Linked DNA regions of Coturnix japonica. The protein of the gene in region 2 interacts with the protein of the main gene of each other region in a biochemical or structural test. Links are inferred from orthologs where the notes say so. Each region holds a gene or a part of one and is shown on either strand. Other genes may lie near its edges. The genes, in order: ENC1 and NFE2L2.

Evidence for each region.
Region 1: the proteins of NFE2L2 (region 2) and ENC1 form a complex in vitro, tested with the Homo sapiens proteins (2 studies listed by BioGRID). The link is inferred for Coturnix japonica from reciprocal best matches to the Homo sapiens genes NFE2L2 and ENC1.

What each region holds. Positions count from the first base shown.
Region 1 is NC_029547.1:22,166,055-22,175,857, forward strand, and holds the start of ENC1 (ectoderm-neural cortex protein 1), read left to right. Parts: upstream 1-3,755; 5' UTR 3,756-3,957; intron 3,958-8,504; 5' UTR 8,505-8,516; coding exon 8,517-9,803. UniProt on the Homo sapiens protein: Actin-binding protein involved in the regulation of neuronal process formation and in differentiation of neural crest cells.
Region 2 is NC_029522.1:14,050,237-14,060,039, forward strand, and holds the start of NFE2L2 (nuclear factor erythroid 2-related factor 2), read left to right. Parts: upstream 1-3,999; 5' UTR 4,000-4,144; coding exon 4,145-4,174; intron 4,175-4,297; exon of another isoform or gene 4,298-4,415; intron 4,416-9,803.

The DNA.
Region 1 (9,803 bases), on a different chromosome or scaffold from region 2:
TTAGCCCCTTGATTAATGAAAATCTTTTGTGCAGAACAAACTCAGCTTTACGTAGAAACCAAGGCCTATCATTTCCTTTCTCTTGCATACTGTGTGATGTTATAGCTCACTGACTTCAGATGTGCCGGTGTTCATATACTTTGCAAGATGTGAGGGACTCAACAGTCATTTGTCATAGCAAGACAGAACAAATGTTTCAGAAGGTAGCAGTTCTGTGCCACTTACCCAAAGATTTGCCCCTTAGCACTGCTGCTGGTTTCCAGGGTGCACTGGATGTGATCTGCCATGCCATGCAAGAATGACATCTAAGGGCGATTCTGGCTGAATGTAATCCTTTAGAAAAATTAACACTTGCAGAGGTGAGGAGAGCAAGGCAAAGAAGGACTTACACCCACCCAAAAAAAAAGAATGGAAAAGCTGGTGTAATTGTTGCTAAGAACTGTTCAGTGTTGACCTCCTGTCAGTAGCTTCAGACAGCCCTGGTGCACATTAGGTCACACTGGGCTGTATTGACTGAACCTCTGTTTTCAGGCCCATCTGGAGAAGCTCATCAAAGAGAAATGATAAGGAAAGCAGGTGTGGGTCACTGAGGGGTGCTCCTGGCCTCATCCTCTGGAGAGATTGCTGGCACTGGTACTGCTATTGTACAGTGTTAATTAGATCATCCTAATTAATTCATTCGAAGTGTAAATTAAGAAGGAATGAAGATAAATTACACTAATACATTTAACCCCATGCTGTTTATTTAGCAGTGGAACAAAATAATGTGGTTAAAAGAGTCTAACAAGGCAAATGCCCAAGACACAGCTGTTTAATAGCATTAAAAATGAGATCTCAGCCTGTGCTGCGGGCACATACAGCTGATTTGCATTTAAAAGGGTTGCCAAGATAGCTGTACTGGCAAACCCTACTAATGTAGATGCAAGTGATACCAACAAAACAACACAAAATAAATAAACAACCAAAAAAAGTATTTCAATCTCTTGATTGTGGTAATCTGGACTGGCAAATGGATTATTTTGCTAGAACAGTTCTGTCTGTGTTAGAGCTCCTGCTGGTGTGGCTGGGGTAGTCTGGAGGGTGTTTCAGCTGCAGAGCCATGCCTGCAAAACTCTAAAGAGTCAAAAAGGCCATGTTATAATGTTTGCCATACATTCAGTGATCCAAGGACTTGTCTCAACACAGAAGCCAAACCAATTTAAATGATGCTGGGAGTTTAAATTCATGTAGTTATACCAGGAGTGCTTTTAAACATAGCAAGTTGGATTTGAGTTGAACAAAGAAGTTTTTGCTACCCCAATTGCACTGCAGTTAAATGTGGCACTTAGAGATCCAGAGGTGAAAATATACAGGGGTTTTGAATGCCTTCCATTTTCAAAGGCCGCACTTCCATTCCACATAGTTATCATTAAAGCTTATAATTAAAAAGAAAAAAATATATATATAAGCCCTGAGAGATTATCATTTTCACATGACTCCAGAAGCTGGGGCTTTGAGAAAAATGCTGATTATCTTGTGATTTGTGATAAAATCGTGATATTTAGCAATATTTCAAAGATCCTATCTATCCTGGTATATGAGTGCTAGGAGAAACATGTCCAAACTAGTTCAGTGGGCATGTTAAGCTATGTCCTGGGATAGGCTAGGCTAACTTTGTTTTCAGCAGTGTCAAAATACAGATTGGCCCATTTACAAAACTGGCTTAACCGGAACTGTGTTTAAATGTGACCTGGCTTAGACCAATGTAAACTGGGCCAAAGATTTGCTTTGGACCAGGTTAATTTGTTGAGTGTTTATCCCATGCTAACTAGGCAAGCACTTCAGTTATGAATGTGTTCTGAGCTGCATTTACAACCAGAGCTACCTGGTCCTAACACCTGTTCAGGAGGGACTAGAGGTGGTATGGATGCTCTTTGTCTCCTGAGCATGAAAAGTAGTTCCCATAAAGACATGCAAGAGATCCACTGCTGTGGTTTGTAGAGCTTCCAGTTGTGGAACTGACAGAAGACTACTGAGTTCATCTTTTCCTTCTCTCTCTTCTCCCACCAGTAGCACTGTTTCACACAGTGCATGTATGCTGCTACATGCACACAGAAGGGGCTGTCTGGCTCTATGGCTGTTTCTCCAACAGGAAACATGTTGCTTCATCCAATTATTCTGCCCTCATTAACCCCAGCAGATTCCTTGTTTTATGGAGGTCGCTCAGAGGATTACTGTCTCATTTCAGTCACCCAGAGCACTGCCCAAATATGCATGCCATAAGCAGCTGCATAAGCCTTACATATTGTCCTCTCTACAGAGTTTATTTTCCCCCCACCATTCTTCATCACTAGGAGCAAAAACAAACTCACATAAAAGGTGTGGCTGCTGAACTACAGCCTATCTAATACTGCCATCCCATTTCTGTTTTTCACTCCTGGTGATTGTTTTGCCTGTGTGGAGGGAGGAGAACAAACCTGACACTGTATGAAATTATGTGAACCCATGTTTTTAGTTGTAAGGGATGACAACACTAGACTGTGCAGAATGCACCATAATGGAATTTGTTCTACTAGGGCAGGATTTGGCTGGAATCTCTGACAGTTTTGTTGAAGGAAAAATGGGAGAAAGCAGGATCAGATCTTGTGGAACATGATAGGACAAAAGAAAAAACCCAGATTCATAACATGACAGCCCATGGTGCTAGAAACATCAGCCATGAATCCAGAATCCACTAGTGTTTCTTGACTGAAATGAGCACTAGATCAGGCTCTCGTGTCCATGAATACCCACTGTATAAGGTGATCCGCAGTTTCCAAGAGCTTCTCACACCTAGGCAGCATTGAAATACACTTTATTACATATAGATATGCAATATTTTTAATCTTGCAATCTACAGAATTTCATGTCATAATCAAACTATTGTAAACATACATACAAATGAAAGAGATTACTCTTTCACCTGCTCTTTGTCTAACTGAAATCACTGTGCTTTGCTGTTATCCCCAGGTTCTCCAGAGCTTCAGATGTGTCCTGCTGTACACTGAGCTCATGTTTATCTGCAGCGTTGGAGTGCAGCAACAGGAACACAAGTAACCATACGCATGTTAGTGAATTGCTTACAGGGGTGGGTTTTTTTTCTGACAGAAGAAACGGTGATGTTTCCTTATGAGGAACAAATGAACTGTGCAAACTGTTACATGCAGCTGTGAGCTGGTGGGGGTAAACTAATTGTTCATATCTTTCTTGAAGCATCTTTAGACTAACGCCATCGCTGCAAGTAGCAAAGAGTAAATCAGCAGCACAACGCCATTATGTAAACACTGCTGTTGTGTCTGTGTTTATTTTTCACATCAGCCTTTTGCACATGTGTGTTTTTCTCATACTTCGTTAACTAGTAAGTAACTAAAGCCGGGCGCAGTTTGGTGCAGCACCCCCCGCATTATCCGCGGGGCAGAGCCAGCAGCTGGTTACCTGCAGCTGGATACCGGCAGCTGGTTACCTGCAGCTGGACACCGGCAGCTGGACACCGGCAGCTGGATGCCGGCTTCTGCCCGCACCCGTGCGGCTATTCCTGTTCCCGCACAGCGGAGCGCGGCCACACGCTCAGCCCTAGAGGAGCGGCGCCGGGACACGCTGCACCTTCCCCGGAACGCGAACTCCTCTGACAGCAACGCTGCGCGGCGCAGCCCGCCGCCTGCCCGCCCCCTCCCCGTCCCTCCCCCGGGTGTCACCCATCCGCTTTGCATAGCCTCCCCGCCCCCAGCGCATATACCCCATCCCCGCGCCGCCGACGGGGCAGAGCTGCGGCCCGGCGGTGCCAGCAGCAGCTGATCTTTCTCTCGTCCTTCTCTCCTCCTTCCCCACCGCGGCCCGCCTCCTGCTGCCGGCACCACCTCCGTCGGCCGCCTCTCCGCACGGTCGCCTCTCCCCTCCCATGCTTGGAGGCCGAGGGACGCCCGCTCGGCAGCAGCCGCTGTAAGTCGGTGCCCTGCAAGCCGCGCCATGAGGGAGGTGGGAGATGGGAGGTGGGAGGGCAGCCGGGGTGCGTGCAGCCGGGCTGGGACGGGGAGGCTCTGCGCCCGCTGCGCCGCATCCGCTCTCGGCACCGCTCCGTCCCTTCCTCCTGTCCGCAGCGGGGAAGCGGTTGGTTGCCGGCACTGGGATCGGGTGCCTCCGGTATCGGCGGTCCTGCGGAGCGCCGGGTGCTGCTGCGGGGCTGCCGGGCTGCCTCGCCGGGCCGGGGCATCCATCGGCTGTGGCAGGAGCGGAGGAAGGACCGGCGCCGCGTTGCTGCCGGAGCTGGCAGCGGGGCTGCTCTGGAGCAGAAACTTTTCCACGTGGTTGTTGCTCTGTAAAGAAAAACAGATGCGCTTTGACTTCTCGCACTGTTTCTGCATCAGTTTGGGAAGAAAACCGTGAATTTTTATTTCAGAGTGGGGGGTTGTTAAGGCACACCGCGATGGAGTGAACTATAGGGAATTTAGAGCTGGGTTTCTTTGTCTGCGTGTGGTGAGCAGCGTTGCATTCCTCGCAGGAGCAGCGTGCTCTGCTTTCCATCTTACTGCAGGTCCTGGGGAGCCGCTAAGCTTGTGCTAGAGGAGTTCAGGCAGGATCAGGACTCGGCTCAGCGAGACCGACAGTATCGCCGCGGGGTTAGCAACTGAAAGCAGTATCAGTCAGATCAATGGGATGTGTGTCAGATTTCCTTTTCCCCAGCAGTTTCACTGATTCTGCGCTAAAGCTTCACCAGCCCCAAGTAATTACAGACCCGTATGAAAACGAGTCTATCATCTTGGCTGTGCTGGTAATTTGAAAATACTTAATTCTTCATTTGATTTTTAGGCTGTGACCTGCACGCTGCAGAGCTGCAAAGAAGTAGGGCAGGGAGTCTGTTGTTCAGTTTTAAAGTCGTGTTTACTACAGGGCTGCTGTGACGAGCAGCCTGTTGAAGTGTAATTATAAATCAAAGTCTTGGTTGAACCTCTGTTCCTAGATAAAATCTATATCTGTAATTTACTGACCGCTTCTTGTTTTTTACATACTAATACTATTATTTCTAAGGAAAAGCCGCCTGAAGGGAGTTGACTCATTTTATTCAAGATGAACATTTGCTCACTGACTGTAAATTACCTCCGCTGAAGTATTTGAGGCTTGCATAATTTCCAGCACCAAACGGAGAAATCAGAGATGTCATTTATACCATTTAACATTCTTGTATGATTCTGGATGGAGCTAATTGTCAGGAGCTGCAAAAAGATGCATTCACAGAAACACTGCTCGTTAGTGAATTATGATAATTGCTCTTAAGGGTTCATCCATGTGTGAGCTCATCTCAGCAAGCACGGAGGAGGAAAAGATACGTGTAGATATAAATCTTTGTTCTGTTTGGGGAAGTATGTTAACTTATCTTAAATGTGAACTGGCATACCTTGAATTCTTCTCAGTGGATGGCATTGTGATGATAGAGTGTTACCCGAACAGTTAAAGACCACTGCAAGTGCTCCATAAGAAATGGCTTTACTCACTGAGGGACCAAGTCTTCACCTTTAGTGGGGTGAAATGTGACTGCCTTACTGTAGCTGCATTTCTTATTTATTTATTTTTTTTAACAGCAGTGCTTCTTACTGGGGCTGTGGGTGGGCTTGGGCAGCATGCAGCAATCTGTTCCTCCCTTCCACAAGCGCTTTTAGCTCAGTACCCTCCAATGTCTGTGTAGTTGCCAGGTGAGTTTTTTTAGGTCTGTGTTTATTTTGTTGTGGTTGTGGTCTCATTCCAAGTGATCTTTGCTAGTGGTTCTTAGCGGACTGTAGGTGCTGAATGTTTGCAGCCTCTGATGTGAACTTTACCTGCCCTAATACTGAACCCTAAGTGCATAGTGAGAGGATTTCTGCATTGTATTTCCGGACGTACTGTGGAGATCTTGGCATGCCAGAGCTGTTTGTCTGCACCTTCCTTTGGCTGGGACAGGGAGCAGGGGGCATTGAACACCATCGTTGCATACTGGTGGCTCACAGTGAGTGTTCAGCTCCCATCCCACAGCCTGGCAAAGGAGGCCTTGCAGGTTTATTTCCTCAGTGTGAGGAAAGCTGAGCTGTAGAGATCCAGCCAGTGCTGTGTACTGCATTGTGATGGCATTTAAAAAGGTAAGATGCTTGGAAAAGTTATAAAAGCTTTTAGGGGATTCTTTGTTGGTGAATGGCTCTTCCCACCTGTCTCCCCACTGTTTGTGTATATATACTCTAAGCCATGACCCTTTCTGTAATCCTTCATTTCCAGCAGGTTTCAGCCTGAGAGTGTATGTGGTCAGTATAATCTTTTTGGTTGTAAATTAAGTTGGTAATTTTAGCCTGAGATTAGTGTTGAAGATCCTTGAATAGCATCAAAGTCAGACACCATTCTCCTTGCTAGCTAATAGAATTGTTTTAAAGGTAATTTCATTTTATCCTATGAAATAATTTGCATTGAGGAGATGTACCAGCCTCCTGAAGCTGCTCTGTATCTTGGTGCTTGGTATCAATTCATTCTGTAGGCTGGTGACAGGACCAGAGTTTTAAAACACCTTTCCAAACTTTTGTGTGTCAGGTACTCGGGTTGTGGCTCTGATGGGAAAGGATTCCTATGAGCTTTGAAGGATTTTGGACTGAGCACTCTACACTGAACTTTATTGCTTGCTCTTTTCAATCCCAGTTGAAAGGTACCAGGGAAGTCATTTTCCATATTAAAGAAAGTGGGTTATGGTAGTTTTGCACTAAGGTGCCTCTTTGTTTATTAATTCATGTTGGTTTGAAGGTGGGTTTGATTTATTATTAATTTTTCTTCCTCCCCTGCAACTGAAGTGAAAGGTGTGTCACAAACTTTTTGTTATATGTGACAAATTGATTGTTCTGCATGTTATTTAAGCAATGCAGAATAGTACTGGTTGTGCTGCACATGTGGCAGAGTGTGTATATCCTCCATTATGCATAAATAGGAAATTCTGAAGTCTGTTGTCCAAGTGAATCATGTATGGTTTTGATTTTGTTGAGGGTTCTGAACCTAGAAAAACAAGTGCATTCATTAAAGATTTTGTTTTTGGTTGTTTGTTTTTTTGAGGCTCTTGTGTCAGCTTGAAGCATGAAATGTGGGAATAGAGTTGTATGGTTGTGTACTGCTTAAACATGCTCAGGAATATGAAAATGTGCAAGTCTGTGAGAGAGGGAAGTACATCCACATGAAAAACCTCTGCAGGTGGCCCCAGGTCATGCTCTGACTTTGAGCACTAGGAGATTCCCAGGTAGGCTCTTGCCCTGATCCTTATTTGAAGGTGCAGTGAATGGGACTCTGCTTAAGAGAGTATCATAGCAATTAGGGAAGCCTGGTTCTCTTCTTTCTTCAAGCTTCCTCTGCAGTTTGGAGTGAGAAGAGAGGTTATAACAAGTAGCAGTCACAGCCATAGTCTGCAATGGGCTCTGTATGCTTCACCTATTCATTGCAATGTGTTTTTTCAGCCATTAGCTCTATATAACTCCCAGTATTCTACTCTTCCTGTGTACTCTGTGCTGTTTGGGCACAACTCTTAGTGAAATCTGGAATCTTACTCCAGTAATCATATGTAACCCTGCATATCATGGCAGATAACAGGAACATTCACCTGATAAGGACTGAGAAGCACTGTGCTTGTCAGGAATAGAACTGTATAGGATATATTCTTTTCATCTCAAAAGCAGCCAGTAGCAGTCGATGGCTTGTGCTCTGAGTACCTGGCTCTTGAAGTAGCCACAGTATGGTGATGCCTTGATGACTTCATCTGGCAGTGAAAACATCTTTCTGCTGACTCTGCCTGTTGTGTGTGCTGTATCACTGCAGCAGGCGGCCACTGGCAGAGTTCAAGATGTAATCTCTGAAATCCAATTGTAATATTATTATTATTTTTTTTTTTTTAAAGATTTTGCAAGTCTAAACTTATGATCCTTGTTAAGTTTTCCTTTTAAGGTTCCCCTTTTCATTCTCCGCTGTTGCATATGGAATTGTTGTAACAAAGCAAAGCTTCCTAATGGGATTAGTAGTTTTTTTGTTCATCATGCCGCTTTTGACATTCCTTAGGTATTCTGTCTGGTAGCTCTTCCTGCTATGATTCAGTACAGGAGAATGTTTCAAGCATGTGCATATGTACATATGTAATGAATCAGCTGGTCTAGATTGGGGAAGGGTGAGAAAATCAGCCCTGGTTCCTTTTCTTTCTCCTCTGACTTACTTGCTTACTGTAATGCTGTGGAAGTTGGAGATCAGGTTTCCCAAGACAAACCTGCTCTTGGGCAACAAATTTAGAGTATGTCATTTATGAAACTCATCTTGCAAAAAATAAACACATGCCAGAGGTACATGCAATTCTCTGTCCAGTCATCTACAAATTAAGCCTTTTTTTTTTTTTTTCCTCCCCCCATCTTATAGTGAATAAGATACACTTCTTGTAATGTAAAAAGAAAATGAATTAAACTCTCATTAATGTCATTAATATATATATTTTTTTTCTTTGTTTGTAGGTGTGGAAGAAGATGTCAGTCAGCATGCATGAAAATCGCAAATCTAGGGCCAGTACTGGCTCCATAAACATATACTTATTCCACAAGTCATCGTATGCTGATAGTGTTCTGACTCACCTGAACCTTCTGCGTCAGCAGCGTCTCTTTACAGACGTTCTTCTCCATGCTGGGAACAGGTCGTTCCCCTGCCACAGAGCTGTCCTGGCTGCCTGCAGCCGCTACTTTGAAGCAATGTTCAGTGGAGGACTGAAAGAGAGCCAGGACAGTGAAGTCAACTTCCATAACTCCATCCACCCAGAGGTCTTGGAGCTGCTTCTGGACTATGCGTATTCCTCCAGGGTTATCATCAATGAGGAGAACGCAGAATCGCTGCTCGAAGCTGGTGACATGCTGGAGTTCCAGGACATCAGGGATGCTTGTGCAGAGTTTCTGGAGAAAAACCTTCATCCTACCAACTGTCTTGGCATGCTGCTGCTGTCAGATGCTCACCAGTGCACCAAGCTTTATGAGCTCTCTTGGAGGATGTGCCTTAGCAACTTCCAGAGTATCAGTAAAAGTGAAGACTTCCTCCAGCTGCCGAAAGACATGGTAGTGCAGCTCCTTTCCAGTGAAGAATTAGAAACTGAGGATGAAAGGCTCGTGTATGAATCAGCTATCAACTGGGTCAACTATGACCTGAGTAAGCGTCACTGTTACCTGCCCGAGCTACTGCAGACGGTGAGACTGGCCCTCTTGCCAGCCATATACCTGATGGAGAATGTGGCAATGGAAGAACTTATCACCAAGCAAAGGAAAAGCAAAGAGATAGTAGAAGAATCGATACGATGCAAGTTAAAGATCCTGCAGAATGATGGAGTGGTCACTAGTTTGTGTGCCAGACCCCGCAAAACTGGCCATTCACTTTTTCTTCTGGGTGGCCAGACTTTCATGTGTGACAAGCTGTACCTTGTAGACCAAAAGGCAAAGGAGATCATTCCGAAGGCTGACATACCGAGTCCACGGAAAGAGTTCAGTGCTTGTGCCATAGGCTGCAAAGTCTATATCACTGGGGGACGAGGATCAGAAAACGGAGTCTCCAAAGATGTGTGGGTATATGACACCCTTCATGAGGAGTGGTCAAAAGCTGCTCCCATGCTGGTGGCTCGCTTTGGCCATGGCTCTGCTGAACTGAAGCACTGTCTGTATGTAGTAGGAGGACACACTGCAGCGACTGGATGCCTTCCAGCTTCTCCTTCAGTATCCTTAAAGCAAGTAGAACAGTACGACCCTGTGACCAACAAATGGACCATGGTTGCCCCG
Region 2 (9,803 bases):
AGCTTTTCAGTGAAAGAGATAGCCCCAGACTGCATTAATCAGACAATAAAATGATGGGAAACTCTCCTTCCTCTCCCCCAGCAACCAGAAGTGAGTTTGCACAGGACACAGCAAGGCAAAAGAGCGGTGTAATTTTGAGCTCCATATAAGAATCTGGAAGGGCAGAAGGTTAAGTCATTTTCTTTACAATTTCAGCCTTAAATATTCATTTCCATCCACAGCCCTATCAAAAAGACAAAGATAAATGAGAAAGTTCTGAAAAAAAAACAGGAAAATAATCAGTGGCTGGAGGGCCACATTTGTTCAGAAATACACACATATGTTTAACTTGTCCAGATCTTTAAGGGTGATTAAGGGGAACTCATCATGGATAATTTCTGGAAGAGTATATATTGCAAGTTAAAAAAAAAGTTCACCAGGTCACAGGCTGCCAGAGATCCTTCTGAATAGCCACCAAATCACCCTTATAACAAACCCCAAAACAATGCATAAAAATAAGAGTTGCATTTACACTCTGAGAATCAAGCTTAGTTTTCATTTCCTCAAAAACTCTCTGTCAAAGATTAACCTTCCTATCTTTACCATGTGCTTAAGATAGGGACACACTCACACAGGCAAAGTGCTGAGGATCACAATGACTGCTCAACATTAGTCGCTATCAAAACAGTCTTCATTCATACCCAGATCCATGTGTTACACTGTCCACATAGCACACTAACAGGCAAGATTAGGAATGAGGCTAATGGGTGGGAGGACTGTGTACATAATAGTATGTCTTGGTCAGGACAAAAAGATGCAACTTAAACAAAATTAAAACTATCTGCGCTGTGATTTGAGTTTGTACCTTTCTTTGAAAAAGATGCAGAACATTTTCAGCCTAAGTTTCTGGGATACCCTATGCATTGCTTCTAATTATTTACTCTAGTTGTTCATATTTAGGAATGAAATCCTATCACTTCTCTTATTACCATAGTTCCAGGGAATAAGATCATAATTAATACTTAAAGACTGGGACACAGGAAAATGTTATAGGTATATGGATGCTACTCCAACGATATTATCGGGATAGGATTTCCTTCAAGAAGTGAAGAAAGAGGTACTTCAGGCTGTACATTAACTTCATCTAACTTTTACATGGTAAGAGTTAAGGAAGACAAACTCCAGCCATCATGGCTGAGGACATACCAGCTCCTCCTGCCAACAACCAAGCAGCAATCCATGGTCCATCATACAGCTTTGCAAAGTAAGAAGGGAATGGAGTGTGCACCTTGTATGCTGATTCCAGCATCCTTCGTTTATGTCTTCTTAAAACCTCTCTGTAAAACAGAGGACATTTCCCTATTATTAAGTTAAAAATGAATTATGCTTCAGCATTTTTCTAGTATCATCGGGGTACTCATTTTAAAATAGAAGTCTTTGTTAAAAATCTAACATCAAAACTTCTATGTAGCACAAAGTCCCACATCCTGAGAGTCATTTCTCATTATAGACTCAGTCAAAATAGATGAGTTGATTCAAAGCTTATAAGTTCAGCATTACTGAAATTCACTCAGCAAATGAGGATGTGTTCCCAGCATTTTTCAGATGTTTGGAAGATTAAGTGCCAACTTGTTTTTCTTTGTTGCTCAAACTAGTCAGGTTTTAAAATACATATTCTCAGCAGTAGGTGGCACTATGAAGTCTCTAGCTTCATAATTATTCTAATATGAGATAATATAAAATGTTATGCAGAGACATTAGAAATAACTTCATCAAAATGTTAATAGACCATTAACTAAAAACATGGCCCAATCTCTCCTTTTTCCTATCATTTTAAAAGGAGCATAAAAACACTGGTCTGCCCGAGCTCAAGGTGTGAAGATAAGGAGAAAAGAAATTAAGCAAGGAACACAAATGAAATATATAGTCAACAGTCTTTATCTAGCCTGGCCAGAAAGTGCCCTTTTTCTTTTTTCACCCCAGGCTCCAAGCAAGCTGCTTAGCTTTGCACAGAATTTCTGCACTGTGATACAATCTACACCAATACCTAAGATTCCTGTGTGCTTTTATTTTCCTTCCTATTAAGTAAAGTGTATAGAAAATACACCTTCGTGGCTTCAGGGCAATTTTTCAGGGACTGACATTGTGCATTACTCATTTTGTGCTAATGTGTTCTATCTTCTGCTCGCTATTTCTTCTATAACACAGAAAAGAAAAAAACCATAAGACATCACTAGCATGGGGTCTTGAGCTGGGAGCAGCTCTACTCAAGAGTTTTAAACTGTGACACCAATTTCTGTTGTAGAGTTTTGTCCATTCAAAGTCTTCAGGATACAGCCAAAGTAATGCAAAACACACCAAAACATAGCTTTTGACTCTGGTTTCTCACTGCACATTATTTACTGTTATCTTGTATTACCCCTAAACTGGAACTAAGGATATGGTATTGTAAGAGCTACTTAAAATAGCTCACTCGTTCACACAGGCACTATATGTTCTGCTTGGATCTCCCTCCTTAAGATATTTAGTGGCTCTGTGGATGCAATTTAACTTACAATGTAAGCCAAGTGCTTCCATAGTATCTCATGCAGTTATCAAACAAGCATTTTACAAATCTACTCAGATTGTGTGTTCTTTCTATGGATTTCATACAACTAGAGCAAGCACCTTCTACATTTTTGGGCAGACACCCACTTTCAACAGGTGGATACAAATAAAATTTTATAATTACTCTGGATTTATCAAATTTATATACTTATGCTTTTTGCTAAGCCATGCCCTTGTACCTTGTGAACAGCTTATACTACCACTAGTGTGCAATAGCAAATTGAACACAGCTCAAACAATGTGAATTCTCCATGTATTCCACATGGTTTTGTTGTGATTTTCATCTTTTTTTTTTTGTGCCAGGGGTGGATTCATTGTTTGACCAGATGTAGGCAACACCCAGCAAACACTACATGAAATATACCTGGATGAATAGCCACACTAAAGCACAAGCCAGGGAATATAAGAGTGAAGAGAATCATAGAATGCCTTAGGTTGGAAAATTCCTGCCAAATCACCCAGTTCAAACCCCTGGCCATGGGCTGAGTTGCCAACTACCAGATCAGGGCCCAGAGCCCCATCCAACCTGGCCTTGAACACCTCCAGGGATGGGGCACCAGCACCTCACGGCCCTCTCAGTAAATAATTTCCTCCAAACACCTGACTGAAATCTCTCCTTTTTTAATTTAAAGGCATTCCTATTTTTCTTATCGCTATCAGATAACGTTAAACGTTAGTCCCTCTCATGCCTAAGGGCTCGCTTTAAGTGCAAGAAAGCCACTAGCAATCGAGTTTTCTTCTAAGGCAGCGCCGTGCCAGCAGAACATCTGACCGAGGAGCATTGCCATCCCATAGGACGGGCACTGCCATGACATCTCCCAAAGCATCACGTGAGATTCGGGTCTGTAAGTCAGCCGGCTGAGACACGCACGCCAACTATTTCGACACCCGTAGTATTAACGGGGGTTACAGTGCAAGAAACCACAGGTACCAGGGAATTACAGTACCCTGGGATGAGAGCCTGATGTAATAGGAAAGCACGTGTGGAGGACGCAACCAGAAAGAGCCTGGAAAGGTGCCTTTAGTGTCAATGTAGCAGACTGCCAGTGGCTCGTAGCCGTGTTTCGGGACCGGACTAATAACGTAGAACACGAAAAGAAGGTGAAACCACACACCTGGGGAACGTACCGAGGCACGGACAGAACAGCCGGCCGAGAGCACTGCTGACAGAACAGCCGGCCGAGAGCACTGCTGACAGAACAGCCGGCCGTGAGCAGTGCTGACAGAACAACCGGCCGTGAACAGTGCTGACAGAACAGCCGGCCGAGAGCAGTGCTGACAGAACAACCGGCCGCTCGCGGTGCCCGGCGCCGTGGGAGGGTCGCGTTCCCGGCACCGCCGCCACTGCCGGGAAAGGAGCCGCCTCCGCGGGCACCGCTGAGTGGCTGCGCCGAGTCGGGGCGGAGCGCGGCGGTCGCCGCTGGCTCGGCCCGGGCCGGGCCGGGCCGTCCCCGTCCCCAAACAGCGGCGGAACGAGAGCGCGGGCGGTGCCGGCCGAGCCGCCACAGCTCCACAGCTCCACGCCGCCGTTCCCGAGTCCGCGCCGCCGCCCCGCGCCATGGAGATCGAGCTGCCGCCCGCCGCACAGGTGAGGGCGCCGCGGGCACCGGGCGGGAACCGGGGCTGCGCGCCCCCGGCTCCCCCTCCCTCTTGTCCCGGCCGTTGGGGCGGGGCGGGCCGGGCGGTCACGAGGCCGGCGGGGCACGTGGTGCCGCCCCGCCCCGGGGGCAGCGCTGAGTCACGGCGGGGGCCGGGCCCCGCCCCCTCGGTACTTTCCCCGTCTCCCGGGCGGGGGGTGCTTCCCTGCCCGCTGCGCAGTTCGGGGCCAGGTCAGTCCGTGGCGAGGGGGGAGCTCGGCCCGGCCCGGCCCCGCCCCGAATACTTGTCCGGTTCCTTCTTGAGGGCCTCCCGCTGTCACGCGGCCTCAGTGGGGGCAGTTGCACAACCGCGTGTTGCCCGTGTCGGGTCGTGGGGTGCGGGGCGAGAAGGGCGCGGGGAGGGTGTGATTCTGTGAGGGGCCGTGGGGGCCGCGATGGAAGGGACCCCGCATCACTTCAGCGTCCTCCTCGGTGTGGGCCGGGGCGACTCTTGTGTCTCCTCCTGTGGGGCCACCTGTCCGCGTTGTGCTGCTCGAGCCCCACAGCCGCGGGTTGTGTCAGATCTGTACTGTAAAGGCGCTGTGTCTTTAGGTAGCTAATGGATTATCTTTTATTGGTTAAATGGAATGCTGGATGGGATTCATTTGGGATGTTGTCTATTACTAATGACACAGGTATCAAAACTGCTGAGGAAAAACGCTCTGGAACGTGAGTCAAAGTGTTTCAAGTCAAGTTCACAAAAGCATTATGTACCCATAATTGTTTACTGCTTCAGTAAGCTGAAAGGTGCTGAAATGGCTGGGCCTGGTGCTTCTAGCCTTGTCAGACAACATGACAAACTCATCAGCTCTCACTAAGCACTGAGCCTTGTGAGAAGGTGAGCAAGATTACTTTCTCATGTAGTGTTTGCACTGAACACTAAAAGTGAAGGCCAGTGTAACCATGTACTTGAGTATCTGCTCAGTGCGTGGGTTTTTCTACCTAGAAAAGAGTTTCTAGTTACATTAGAGGTATCTCTTTAGTCTGTAGGGCTTTACACAGGTATCACATGTCTGTTTTTGTGACGTACTACATAAGGTTGTCTAGTGAATGTCTGTTCCATAATGGGCTGTTCTTTCCATACGACACCGATCATGCAGGAAGTGACAAATGAGTGCACCGCTCAGGCCTGACAACAGGCCTTTGATGTGTTTTTTAGCTCAATAACTGTTAAGCATAAGTGTCTGTAGATAGATTAAGATATCTGTATGGATACCTATTTGTCCATCTATATATGTGGATACGTTTCGGTATCAGAAAACATCTATGTTTTTTGTTGGTCTCTCAGAAGGAACTGAAGGCTGAAGGAGCTGGGTGGTTCAGTGTGGAGAAGGGGAGGCTGAGGGGAGGTCTCACTGCTCCGTACAGCCGCCTGAAAGGTGGTTGCAGTGATAAAGGTGCTGGTCTTCTCTATCAGGTGACAAGAGATAGGATGTGAGGAAACTGCCTCAAGTGGCACTGAAGGAGGCTTAGATTGAATATCAAGAGCATGGAAGGGGTGGTTAGGCATTGGAACAAGCTGCTTGGGGAGGCAGTAGAGTTGCCATTGCTGGAGTTATTTAACAGACCTGTGGATGTGGTTTGGCAATGGACTTTGTGATGTTAGGTGAATGGTTGGACTTGGTCTTAGAGCAATCTTAATGATTCCATGACTCCTAAAATTACAGAGAAGAGTGGTGGAAGTAATAAGAATACTACAAGCACTGTCTTAAGTAGAAATGCATTTTTTAGACCCTTTTAATTCTGATGTGCCTACCCTGCTTATCATGCTGCACTGAAAAATCTTTCCTCAGAACTTCAGAATATCTCTCAGTTAAACCAGTGGTAGATACAATGCAGTGCAGTACCTGTGGCTGAAAGAAATGTAGACTAATAAAAGATGACCATGAGAATCCTTTCAATGCAACAGCTAATTGGATATTTTATTATTGTAGTACATATCTATCGTATGGACGCTGTTCTGTATTTTGTATTTAAAATGTGCTGGGAATTTACATTGCATGAGAAGTTGTTTGAAATACAAGGAGTTGGTTGCATTTGAAAATGGGACTTGAAGAAGCTTGCGGTTAGAACTCAAAGTAGGAGAGCACTTTGGCTTTGGAAGTTGGGGTTTTTGTTTTTGGTTGTTTTTTTGTTTGTTTGGTTTTTTTTTTTTTTTTGGAAAAATATGTGGAAGAGACCAAACTGGGACAAAATAGAACATTCAGTATAAGCAGAGAGCAGCTGGATCATCTCGTGCTTTAAAGAACTTGAGACATTTTTATAGGAGTGTGTGGGTGGTTGGGAAGCTTTGTGTATGTTTCCCACCAGAGTTCATGAGCTAGAATAAAATTTGGCTCTCTGTCCATTACTTTTTTCTTTCTTAAACCGAAAAAAGCAAAGAGAGTATAGCACTTATCCTAAATGACAATACAGAAGGTTATGTATCACCATGACAGCCAAGATCACTGTTAAAATTATCAGATTATTATTAGCTATTCTTGCCCCTGAATACTTCAGTTCTTATAGGTTTTTTCCTCTTTGTCTTGAATTTGCAGAGCGAAATGCTGTGTGCTCCTTTCATGATCCTGGCTGAAATTAATATAGCAATGGCACGTTGAGCATTCTTTAATATTGAAGAAGTCTCTGATACTTCTGTTTAGTATGCTGGAGTTCATGAGATCACCAGAAGTGGAAGGGGCTAAATAAGTTATCTGTTCTTCCATTTCCCCTGTCAAGTCTTTCATATATTTTTTCCTTTTGGTAGTTGCCGAATTTTGTTAGATCTGGTCCTCCAGAAGAAACAACAAACCCCAAAACAGCAAAACCTGCCACAGTTTGTTGCTGGAAAATGTTTAGAATCCATTGAGTTTTTCTAAAGGAGAATGAAAAAGCATTGACTGCATGTCCAGGAAAAGGTCAGTTTACATGAGGCAGAAGGAAAGAATTTCTATCTTTTATAGACTTTCTATACAAAGTCCAGATGAGAAGAGTAGATGACACCAGCTGAGCCCATGCTTTTAAAGCCAGGTGTGTCCTTCATTGAAAAGAAGGAACTTTTTTATTTTCTATCTAGAACATTGCTTATTTCTTTTTTCTAGGAAATTAATAAAGATAAGCTGTAAGATGACTAAACCATTCATGAAAATTAGGCTAATTTGTGAGAGTGTGATGTATTTGCAGTAATTGTGCTGGCTGAGGTTAGTGCAGAACAAGTCCAGGCAGGAACCTGTTGGCATGAATTAAATATTAATCCTCTGCTACTGTGTTTGAATTCCAGCCAGGCAAAAAGCCCTCCAGAGTCCCCAGGTTAATCACCTAGTTAAAGTTTGTTTTGGCTTCCGTCTCATTCCAACCCTAAGTAATCCATTATTCTAATAAAATACATTCCTAGTGAACTTAAAGCAGTTTCAGGTGTGTTCAGTTTTCTGCTACGGGGCATTATATCCAAGCAGGACTTTGTGCCACAGAATTCGATCTCAGGTGAAAGGAAGAGAATACAACGCAGGGGTCAGCTAAATTCTTTTCTGTGCTAATCTAGTTTAACTGGTTTGGGGAACAATTCATCTGCCATTACGCAAGTCTTTTTACATAAACCAATGAAAAGTCTGGTAGGAGTAGTTGGAAGTCATGACTTTAAGGCTGTTTTATCCAAAGATGACTGATATACAGCAGTAAACTGAAATTCGTTCTGGGTTGCTCAACAGTAATGGCTTTATGGTGTATTTGTTTGTTAAGGTAAACTATTAAAGCATCCATTAAGAAATGAAGCCAGCAAAATTATCAGTAGTGTATAAAACTGCTAAAACACGAAAGCTTTATTTGAAATAGATGCAGGTGAGCCATAGGATCATGGAATGGTTTGGGTAAGAAGGGAAAATTTCAGTTCATCCAATTCCAGCCTGATTCCAGAGGCAGGGACACCTCCCACCAGCCCAGGCTGCCCAAAGCTCCATCCCTCTCAGCCTTGAGCACTGCCAGGAATGGGACATCCACAGCTCCCCTGGGTGTGTAATTCAAGTAAAGATAGTAAAGTCTCTCAGAACCAGAATTGGCACTGTTAATTGAAATAAGCATTAATTTGGTTATCTGAGAAATGTGTAAGGCGTGGTAAGGGTAAAAAATATATATATTTAATTATTTGAATCCTTTGGAAAAGAGGATTTCTCTTCATTTTGTGGAGCCTCTTCTATTTCCCATCTTCAGCCTTTTTTGGTAAAATACTTGCTCAGTTCTCTCTGGCCAATGCTGACTTTTGTATGGACGTGCTACGTGTCTGTACATGGATTTTGTGTCTGACCGCTAATTTCTACTGTAATGTTCACTTTTAAAGGGTTAATTCAAGTATTTTGATGCACTGATCATGGAGATGTTGGAAAGCTTATAAGGGTTAATAACTGCGTTAATAACTCATAGTATATGGTATAGTTAGTGTTTTTTGTCAGCTCTATTGGTAATCCCCAGAGCAAGTACTGGTTGGCAACGCTGTAGTAAAATGGGTTTAACTTTAAAAAAACAAAAGACTCTTTTCTCTCCCCCCTTCAAAAAAAACCAAACCTTAAATGGGTACGTTTTATATATCTGGTTGAAGTTTTACATTAGCTCGGTTCGGATTTCTGACTTTGACCTGATTACCTGCAGCTTTGATACTGAGGAGAAGGATTATAAAATAATGTTTATTTTTAGTTCAGGAATTGTAAAAGCACTGTGACTGTAAATGCTTCTCATCTTTCCAGTTAAAGTAGTTTCAAGGACTATTTTTTTGTTGTTGTTGCTGTTACTTTACTGAGATAGTTGAGACCTCCCACCCTTATAATTGTCCTGTGCAGTATTAAGACTTTTAATGTAAGTTCTGTGGTATTATTATGAGCAATGAAATTAACAGAGGAGAAAAAGAGAAGAAACTTCTTTTAAGTTTGGTGTTGCAGCAACAAGTTATGTAAGATCAGTTTGAGACGGGCACTTTCAAACCTTTTAAGGAAGTATCTTTTGTATGGCTATGGAACATAAAGATATCAATTTTCCCTCCCTTGCCTTCACCTCTGCCTTGCAGTATCTAAGTTTTATTGTTGTTTGCTGTATTGGTATTACATGCTGTCTTTGGTAAGTATGGAAAAAATCACTTCTGGAGACTGCTTGCAAAACAGAGTTTGCATGCTTGGAAAATTGACTCAGGAGGAGCTTGGTCGATAGTTTGCCTTTAAGTAGAAGTTTGTTTTATGATTAAGGGTGTGCCTGTTTGCTGTGTTGGAAGTTCGTGCCCGCAAAATGTTGAAGCAGCTACTTTTCTACAACAGAGTTTTATGAAAAGCTGCTCTGACTTTGATTTGCTTCCTGCTTGGGTCATCATGGCTGTTTAGCCGTAAGGAGCTAAGGCAGAAGGATCCAGGAGGGGAGTGTTGCTTGTTTGAACCCTGGGAGTAGCATTGGTACCACCCCACTTTATTGTTATAGTTGAGAGTGGAGCGACTCCTGCATTGCTTTGGCTGTGTGAAGGTCCCTGCTGGGGTTCACCAGCAGCACATGGTTGATGCCACTGGTGAAATGGCTGGTGAAATGGCTGGTCTTTGTCTGCTCCATAGCCGGTGTTCGCTTCAGTGT